2 linked regions of the Elephas maximus indicus genome follow. Each later gene encodes a partner of the first gene's protein in a complex. Links are inferred from orthologs where the notes say so. Each region holds a gene or a part of one and is shown in the gene's direction. Other genes may lie near its edges.

Region 1 (3,747 bases):
ATGCGGCTGCCACCACCACCCAGTGGGGACAGGCCATGGGAGGATAGGCCTTGGGGTTGTGGCCATGGTCAGAGGTGGACAGACTATGGAAAGGATAGGCCATAAGATCGTGGCCACGTAGGTTTCCAGAAGTACTATGGCAGCTGTCTCTCTCCCTTGAGTCCTGGTTGCCATGTCCAAGGCTGGAGTCCAGAATGGCTGCCTGCAGGAGGACACCTCCCGGCAGATCAAAGAAGGATGGATAAGCTTTGGGTGAATAGAGGAAGGCACCTTTGCTGAGGGAGACAGCCTGGACAAAGGTGTAAAGGTAATTGACTTTATTTTCTTTCCTTTTTTTTTTTTTCCTGCAACTCAAGAAAGAGGCAAACCTGCCTTAAGATTGAGAAAACCGTAGTTCAGGGAGGCTCCAGGGTTCCTTAGATCCTAAAGAAGTTTATTGGATTCAATAACTTTAGCAAGTGACGAAGTCACGCCTCCTCCACTCCACTCACCCAACTCGCAAAAGCCCGGAGGGCGGGTTCCTGCCCAGCCCGCGAGATGCACCGGATTCCCACCCTCGGGCTACTAGATCCGCCCGCCCCGCCTTCGGGCCTCAGAGCTCCTGGCGCTCGGTTCCGAACCCATCCGGGGCCTCGCCCCGCCGGCAGCCCGCCGGGAGCCCAGTCGTGGACTGGGCTCTACCTTTAGTGCTGTTCTTCGGCGCGGCTCCGCCTCCAGCCCAGGCCTGAGCCTGGGCTGCGCCTAGCTTCGCCCTTCCCTCTGCCCTCGAGCCAATCACTGGCCCCAGGTCTCCTCTGGCCCCGCCTCCGGACCCGCCCCGGCCCAGTCCCGGGCCCGTCTCGTCCCGGCCCCACCCCCGGCCCGCCCCGCCGTCGGTGCGCCGCGGCCGAGAAGGCGCAGCCCGCAGACGCTCGGAACTGCCGACCCGAGAGCTGCCCGCAGAGGGCCGGCGGCGGGAGCGGAGTGGGTCGGGCGGGGCCGAGCCGGGCCGGGGGCCGTGTGGGGGCCGGACGGCGGCCAGGCCGGGCGGACAGCGGGATGGGCTGCACCGTGAGCGCCGAGGACAAGGCGGCGGCCGAGCGCTCCAAGATGATCGACAAGAATCTGCGGGAAGACGGCGAGAAGGCGGCGCGGGAGGTGAAGTTGCTGCTGCTGGGTGAGGCCGCGCCCCACGTTGGAACCCCCGATTCCCACTCAGTTCCCCAGACAAGGACTTCAAACTCCCAGACAAGGGCTTCGAGCCCCTCGGCCCGGCCTGAAACCCTAGCCCGGACTCCCAAATAAGGGTCTGAAACTCTGGGTCTGCCTAGACCTCTGAGGGTAGCCCAGACTCTATATCAGACCCTCCAACTAATCCTAGACCCCCAAATCCCAAACCCAGGCACTAGTCGGATAACATCAGCTGTCCAGAACCCTTCTTGACCATTCACTCTTGCTGACCAACCTCTCATACCCCCAGAGCCTCGGCCTTGTCGTTTCATCCTTCCAGAACCCCACCCAGCCCTACCCTCAAGCTTTACCTGTTTTCCCCACCTGCTCCCCCATATTTCTATTGAGCATGAGCATCCCCAGACCTTCCCAGGCGCCCATCCACTCCTTTCCGATCTGTGTCCCATTTCTACTCTAGACTCTATATCCTCCACCTGTACCCTCCAACCCCAAGGGACCTCTCAAGTGAGAGCCCGTAACTGCTCATGGGCCCTCTTCAGCCAGAACTCCCAAATGTGCAGAGGCCCCTGGTCTCCGACCCTCAAGTCCCCTTTTGCAGGCATCACTACTGCAGTGCTCTGCTTCCCCTCCCCTAAATCCCCTCCCACTCAGTGGCCTTCCCCAGGTTCCTCCACCTCCCCTGCACCAGGTAGGCTGGGCTGAAAGGAGGGAGCCCAGGGGCTAGGGACCACCCAGGCTGGGTTAGGCAAACCCCCAAGGAACTGGAGCAAGGCCCCCAAGGGCCAGGCTCAGACAGGGGCCAGTCCTCAAGCCTCCCGGAAGGTTCCGCTTGCTATATGTTTTCAAGTTTCTAAGCCTCATCCCGGCCGGCGAGGGGGGAGGCCAGGGAGGGATGCCTGGGTGTCTGGGGAATGGGGGGGGGGTGTGCGTAGTAAGGATTGAGACCGCCTCCAAGGCCAGGGAAGATGGTGGCTGCTCGAGGAGTGGGGGGAAGTGGAAGTGGTGAGACAGCCGACATATTGCTGCCCCTGCGGGCAGGCCAAGGAAATCTGCTGACGATGATGGGCTTCCCAAAGCTGCACTTCAGGGCCGAAGGGCTGGGACTCAGCCTCTGGGAGAGAGTGACCCTGTTGGATCTTGGGGCCCTGTAAGGGGAGTGTAGTGGACCAGCTGAATGAGGAGCTGGGGGCTGCTGAGGGTAGGCCAGGATGTCTCTGATCATCTGAACCAGCCTTTTGCCGAGATGTGGGCCCAGTGTGCATCCCTGTCTAACCTGCCACGGGGGCAGGTGTGGGGCCCAGCGGTTTCGTGCTTTCAGGGTAGGGGGTTAAGGAGGCCCCTGCAGTGGCGTTGGAGGCTGGACAGTGTGTGTGTGGCGGGGGTGTGGCCCCTTAGCCCCAGTCGCCTTGGGGTCCCCAGGCTATGAAAACCTGGGATTTTCAGGCAGTGCTTGTGGCTGAGAGACAGTGTGTCTGTCCATCATAGGCCCATCTGTTGACTGTCCCTGAGGGCCCAGCCTCGGGGGCACGGCCCCGAGGTTTCAAAATGGCATCCGCTCCGTTGCCGCCGCGGGGAGGAAGAGAAGGGGCGGGAAGGGGCGGCGGCCCAGCCTCCTGGGCTGCTTTGCGTTGGGCGCTTGCCTCTTCCTGTCTCTGCTGCTGCGAGTGCGGCCGCAGTGAGTGGGTGTCGACGCAGTGAAATGCCCGTCTCTTCTGCCTGCCGGGCCTGGGGAGGATGCTTCCGGTACTGCTGCCTCCCAGTGCCCAGACCAGAGCCTCTAGCCAGCTTCTTCCTGGGTTGATTGTGGTCATTATGGTGGCTGAGAAGACTGCTGGGCTGGGTCATGGTGCGGTGGGGGGCGAAGAGGGGGAGCAGAGTACAGGGCTCCTTGCCTGTTCTGTCCTGACCCCGGAAGGGCCCCCCATCCTGCCGACCTTGTCCCTTGAAGCCCAGCTGTGCTTTTGGGGCAGGCCAGGTGGGACCCAGCAACACCTCCCACATTGGGATGTTAGCAGTCAGGGGTACAGGGGCCAGCTTAGCACTTTTTAGCCTGGGGAATCCAACCCAGCATCCTGCACCTTAGGCCTTTGCTTCCTCTGTGAAATGGGCTTTCTGGGCTTGAGCCAGAGGAGTGCCATAGAAGTGCCTGGGCCCAGGTCAGGGAAAATAGGGCCTCATGAAGGTTCTTGTTGAGGGTGTGAAGTGGGAGCTAGAAGGACCCTGCAGAGGGTGCTCTGTAAGGGTCTGGGAGACCAAGCTCTACCTGAAATTGAGGACCTGATCTGCCACGACTGCCTGGGGAGGAGTCACCACTGAGCCTTCCCTATCCAGGTACAAGATGGTAATGGGTGCCCAGTTGTGGCAAGTTCAGACTACTGGGCACCTGTCCCACATAGCGGAAGAGACTGTCCAGGCAACGGGACTCAGGCTGGGCATTTGCCAGCCTTCCCTCCCAGCCAGAGCCCGCCTGCTGCCCCACCCACATACTGGCTCTATCCTGTCCTGGGTAGCCCTGCCAGCAGGCATATACAGTCACTGTCACTGGGGCAGAGGCAGATGTGGTACACACTGGCAAGA
Region 2 (3,747 bases), on another chromosome or scaffold:
CATTTGTTTTGCCTGTACCACACTTTTCCCCACCTCCCAGCTACTCTTGTCCATCAAAAGGACTCATGTGCCACTTCTTCTGGAGACCCTGCTGTGACCACCTCCTCCTCACCTGTGTGTGTATATGTGTATGTACATGTATGGAGCTCTGGCGGTGCAGTCCTCACACATCAGTTTCACCACACTGTAACTGCCTCCTGCTTCTCCTGGAGGGGAGGGCTCTGCTGTCGCCAGTGTGGTCGCACAAAGTCTGTGATTACTCAGCGTTCATTGAAAGAGTGACTGCCTGCTCCTCTCACGTGCCACAGAAGCTTAGTTAATATTTTAACAAAACAAGAGTTCGTTGCATATTATCTGATCGGTTAGAACATGAAATACCATCTCACTGAAGGGACTTCTTCACTCAGAATAGCCTGTGACATGAAGACCTTTATCAATAAAAATTTTTCTTATCTAAACAGATTCTGCCTCTAATTCTATAGTAAAATCAAAACTGGTCTTCGCTTTTTTTTTCTTTTTAAACTTTTTTTTAAGTTAGCGTTCTCGGTGGGCTTCAGAAATGTACATAAATTCCGGTAAAATTTTTAAATGAGGAGCTACACAGATGTGGCTGATTTATATGATAATGTTACTGCATTTAAAAAGAAGCGAAAGCTTTAGAAATATCGAGAAACGACAAAATTGAGATGTTTCATGTCCCCTTCAGGAAGACAAAAAGTATTAGATGTTCATAAGCCGGTATATATTTTTGTGAGGGAAAAACATGTACTCTTGCCTGTTTTTTATCTATGGAGTCAAATCCAGCGATTTTGTTTCCTTTTGTATCAATCAAGGAACCCATCGGCTCGCAAGTAATGACATCACACGTCTGTTTTGGCAAAGGTAGCAGCTGCCGCACTTTGTCGATGCTTTCGGACCTCTTGTCTCCTAGCTCCTTCTAAAAGCAGAAAGAGAAAAGCAGGGCAGAAATTACAACGAAGGCAAAAGCTTAACAAGAAGGAAGTTCCCTACACTACATCTCCTTTTCTACAGCTGGGGTGTTCTTTAGCCTTGAACATGGTCTAAGAAAAGCAGCTCCAAATTACAGGGGTGAGTATGTTTCGTTTCTTCTATTTAAGCAGAAAATAGAACAAATGCAAAGGCACATGAGTCACACAACGGACATCGGTGATGCTGAACTGACAAAAATCCCAAGTAGAATTCACAGTCAGAAGGCATGAGGAGCTGCACCGTGGAAGGAAAGCTTTCTTGCATTCACAGTCAGACTACAAGGTAACGAACTGCTGGGTATTTTACTGGTAAGGTAGGCGAGATATATTGCCTTTCTTTTCCTGTTGTTAGTTTACCATTTATTGCAAAGGCTGTGTTAGCGCTTTACCAAATGGACCAGATTCGGAAGGCTCAATGAATACGGCTTTCAACTACCAGGGCCAGTCCAGGCACGGTTTTAGCCTAAATCTAATGTTTGCATTCTGCTTCTATATTTGACCATGGATTTCTCAAGTTCTTTAAAAAATTAAACATGTTGTGAATATACTTCTGTTAAAAAAAAAAAAAATCTTGAAGACTATAATGCTTATAATTTTGGGGTACTGGCAAGCTGTGACTTAAAAAAAAATTAATCCTATTAAGTTGGATGCAATCAATAACACTTAATTTACCAAGCTGTAAAATAAAACAAAAACACTATAACAAAGCCATATGTTTTCTCATAAGATAAGGAGATCACAAACTTACTTTTAGTTTCTTTACTAAATTCATGTACGCACGCTTGTTCTCTTCAGATCCCCCTGGGGATGCAGTCGATAGGTCAGAGGCTAAAGTTCCATTAATTAGAACACCCAGCATGTCAAGAACCGTTGTGAATAGTTCACTAAAGGTGAAAGAAAATAATTATTTTCATCTTAAAGCAAAACCAAGGTCCACTTAATTAACTGAGCATTCTTCTTCAAAGCACAAAAGTTTGTAATAGTATCTAAGAAAATAAGATGTAGCAGAATTTGCAGCAATGGGCCCTGGTAGCCATTCCTTGGAAACCCTATGGGGCAGTTCTATTCTGTCCTATAGGGTAGCTCTGAATCGGAATCCACTCGATGGCAATGGGTTTGGTTTTTTATATCAAAGTTTAAGGTGCCCTGGCGATGTGACAGGTAAGTGCTTGGCTGCTAACGGTGAATTCCAACCCAACCAGCCGCTACATAGGAGGAAGACCTGGTGATCTGCTCCGGTAAAGACTAGGGATGTTTTCGGTTACTAGGAAACCCTATGGGGCAGTTCTACTCTCTTACATGGGGTTGCTATGAGTGGGAATCTCAACATCACCTAACAACAACAACATATGAAAGTTTATGGCATGCACTCGGGGCAAAAGAAACGTGAAATATGAAAACCTACTTGTTGGTGTGCATGTCGACAGTTCCCGAAGTAATTATCTGAAGGAGCAGGAGAGCCCAGTCTGTTGTCCACTGGGTGCTCCTCTGCACCGTGTCAAACATTCCTCCTACCTGGCGTGGAAAACAGGACAAAAAACATCGCATTACCACTCCTGCCACTTTGTGTAGCTGGATTTCAATTAGTTAAAAAAAAAAAAAACCTCTAGTTTATGGATTATCCTGTCTTCTTTCTGTCCTTGGAAACCCTTGTGGCATAGTAGTTAAGTGCTACAGCTCCTAACCAAAGGTCAGTAGTTCGAATCCACCAGGCTCTCCCTGGACACTCTATGGGGTGGTTCTACTCTGTCCTACAGGATCGCTATGAGTCAGAATCAACTCGATGGCAATGGCTTTGGTTTTTTGTTCTTTCTCTCCTAGCTACATATTTGCCATTTCATTTTTTTAGTTCCTTTACCATAGGAAGTTGGTCATTAAAAAAAAACATGGAGGAGGTTAACGTAAGTTTTTCATTCTAGGGCCACATGGGCAGAAGTTCATACAGGTGACCAAAAGGGGATAAAAGCACAGTGCCAGGAGGTTGGCATGGCATTGGTGTAAACCGTATGCCAATGGTAGGTTTTCTTTTGTTGCTAGTATTTCAGGAGCTCCACTTTTATGATAGAAATGTAGTCTAACTGAATCTGAAGAGATCAAAACCATGTAACAGGTTATATCCAGCTTTGCGTCCGATTAAGAGTGAATCTAAGGCTCCTATCATAGTAACACTTGGAACACCCAGTAACACAGAATTAAGAATGGACAGAAGGCTTGTCCAGCAGATCTACCCATTCACATGTGGGGATCAGGTGAAAAACAACCACCAAAAACACCAAGCAAGTCAGCCTCCAGAGGAGCCTTCATTTGGACTTGTCCAATGGGAAAGGAAGAATTTAAAACAATATGCGATGGGTGAGAAATGTTGAATTTCTGTGAAGCCTCGAGGTGGAATTTATTTTGAAATGATCAGTTTGATGAAAAGTTTGACCAAATATTGACTCAAAAGGATGTTTAAAAAAATACATACAGTTAAAACTAACACATCTCAAAACCGTAGTCCTCTCAAACGTACTCTTAGCACAAACTGAAGAGGAGACAGTTCCCGGGGTGGGCTGGTGAAAAGGGCAGACCAATGCCTAAGTATCTACTACTAGAAGTCAGACCAGACAGGAAGGAAAGCAGGGAGGAAAAGAAAATGCTTGAGAGAGAGAGGGAAGTAGTCAGAGAAAGCCAACAGTAGAAGGTCTTGCCTCATACTACAGACTTTGAACATAGTGTGGAAACCGAAAGCTGGAGGTATTTTCACATGTCCATCAGT

What was found. The genes of interacting proteins can lie anywhere in the genome.
Region 2: the proteins of GNAI2 (region 1) and P2RY12 are in contact, whole or in part, in a cryo-EM structure (PDB 7XXI), measured with the Homo sapiens proteins. The link is inferred for Elephas maximus indicus from reciprocal best matches to the Homo sapiens genes GNAI2 and P2RY12. Residues at the interface, in NP_002061.1 of Homo sapiens: Arg24, Glu28, Ala31, Arg32, Leu195, Glu319, Ile320, Tyr321, Phe335, Phe337, Asp338, Ala339, Thr341, Asp342, Ile344, Ile345, Lys346, Asn348, Leu349, Lys350, Asp351, Cys352, Gly353, Leu354, Phe355; in NP_073625.1 of Homo sapiens: Phe59, Asp121, Arg122, Lys125, Thr126, Pro129, Phe130, Thr132, Asn134, Pro135, Ile212, Leu216, Ser219, Tyr220, Arg222, Thr223, Arg224, Val234, Lys237, Ile241, Leu301, Cys302, Lys303.

What each region holds. Positions count from the first base shown.
Region 1 is NC_064838.1:54,587,845-54,591,591, forward strand, and holds the start of GNAI2 (guanine nucleotide-binding protein G(i) subunit alpha-2), read left to right. Parts: upstream 1-918; 5' UTR 919-1,038; coding exon 1,039-1,156; intron 1,157-3,747. UniProt on the Homo sapiens protein: Guanine nucleotide-binding proteins (G proteins) are involved as modulators or transducers in various transmembrane signaling systems.
Region 2 is NC_064841.1:8,553,508-8,557,254, forward strand, and holds the start of P2RY12 (P2Y purinoceptor 12), read left to right. Parts: upstream 1-1,159; 5' UTR 1,160-1,298; intron 1,299-1,737; coding exon of another isoform or gene 1,738-1,873; intron 1,874-2,394; coding exon of another isoform or gene 2,395-2,504; intron 2,505-3,747. Other genes in the region: MED12L (mediator of RNA polymerase II transcription subunit 12-like protein), read right to left, coding at 776-937, 1,738-1,873, 2,395-2,504. UniProt on the Homo sapiens protein: Receptor for ADP and ATP coupled to G-proteins that inhibit the adenylyl cyclase second messenger system. Not activated by UDP and UTP. Required for normal platelet aggregation and blood coagulation.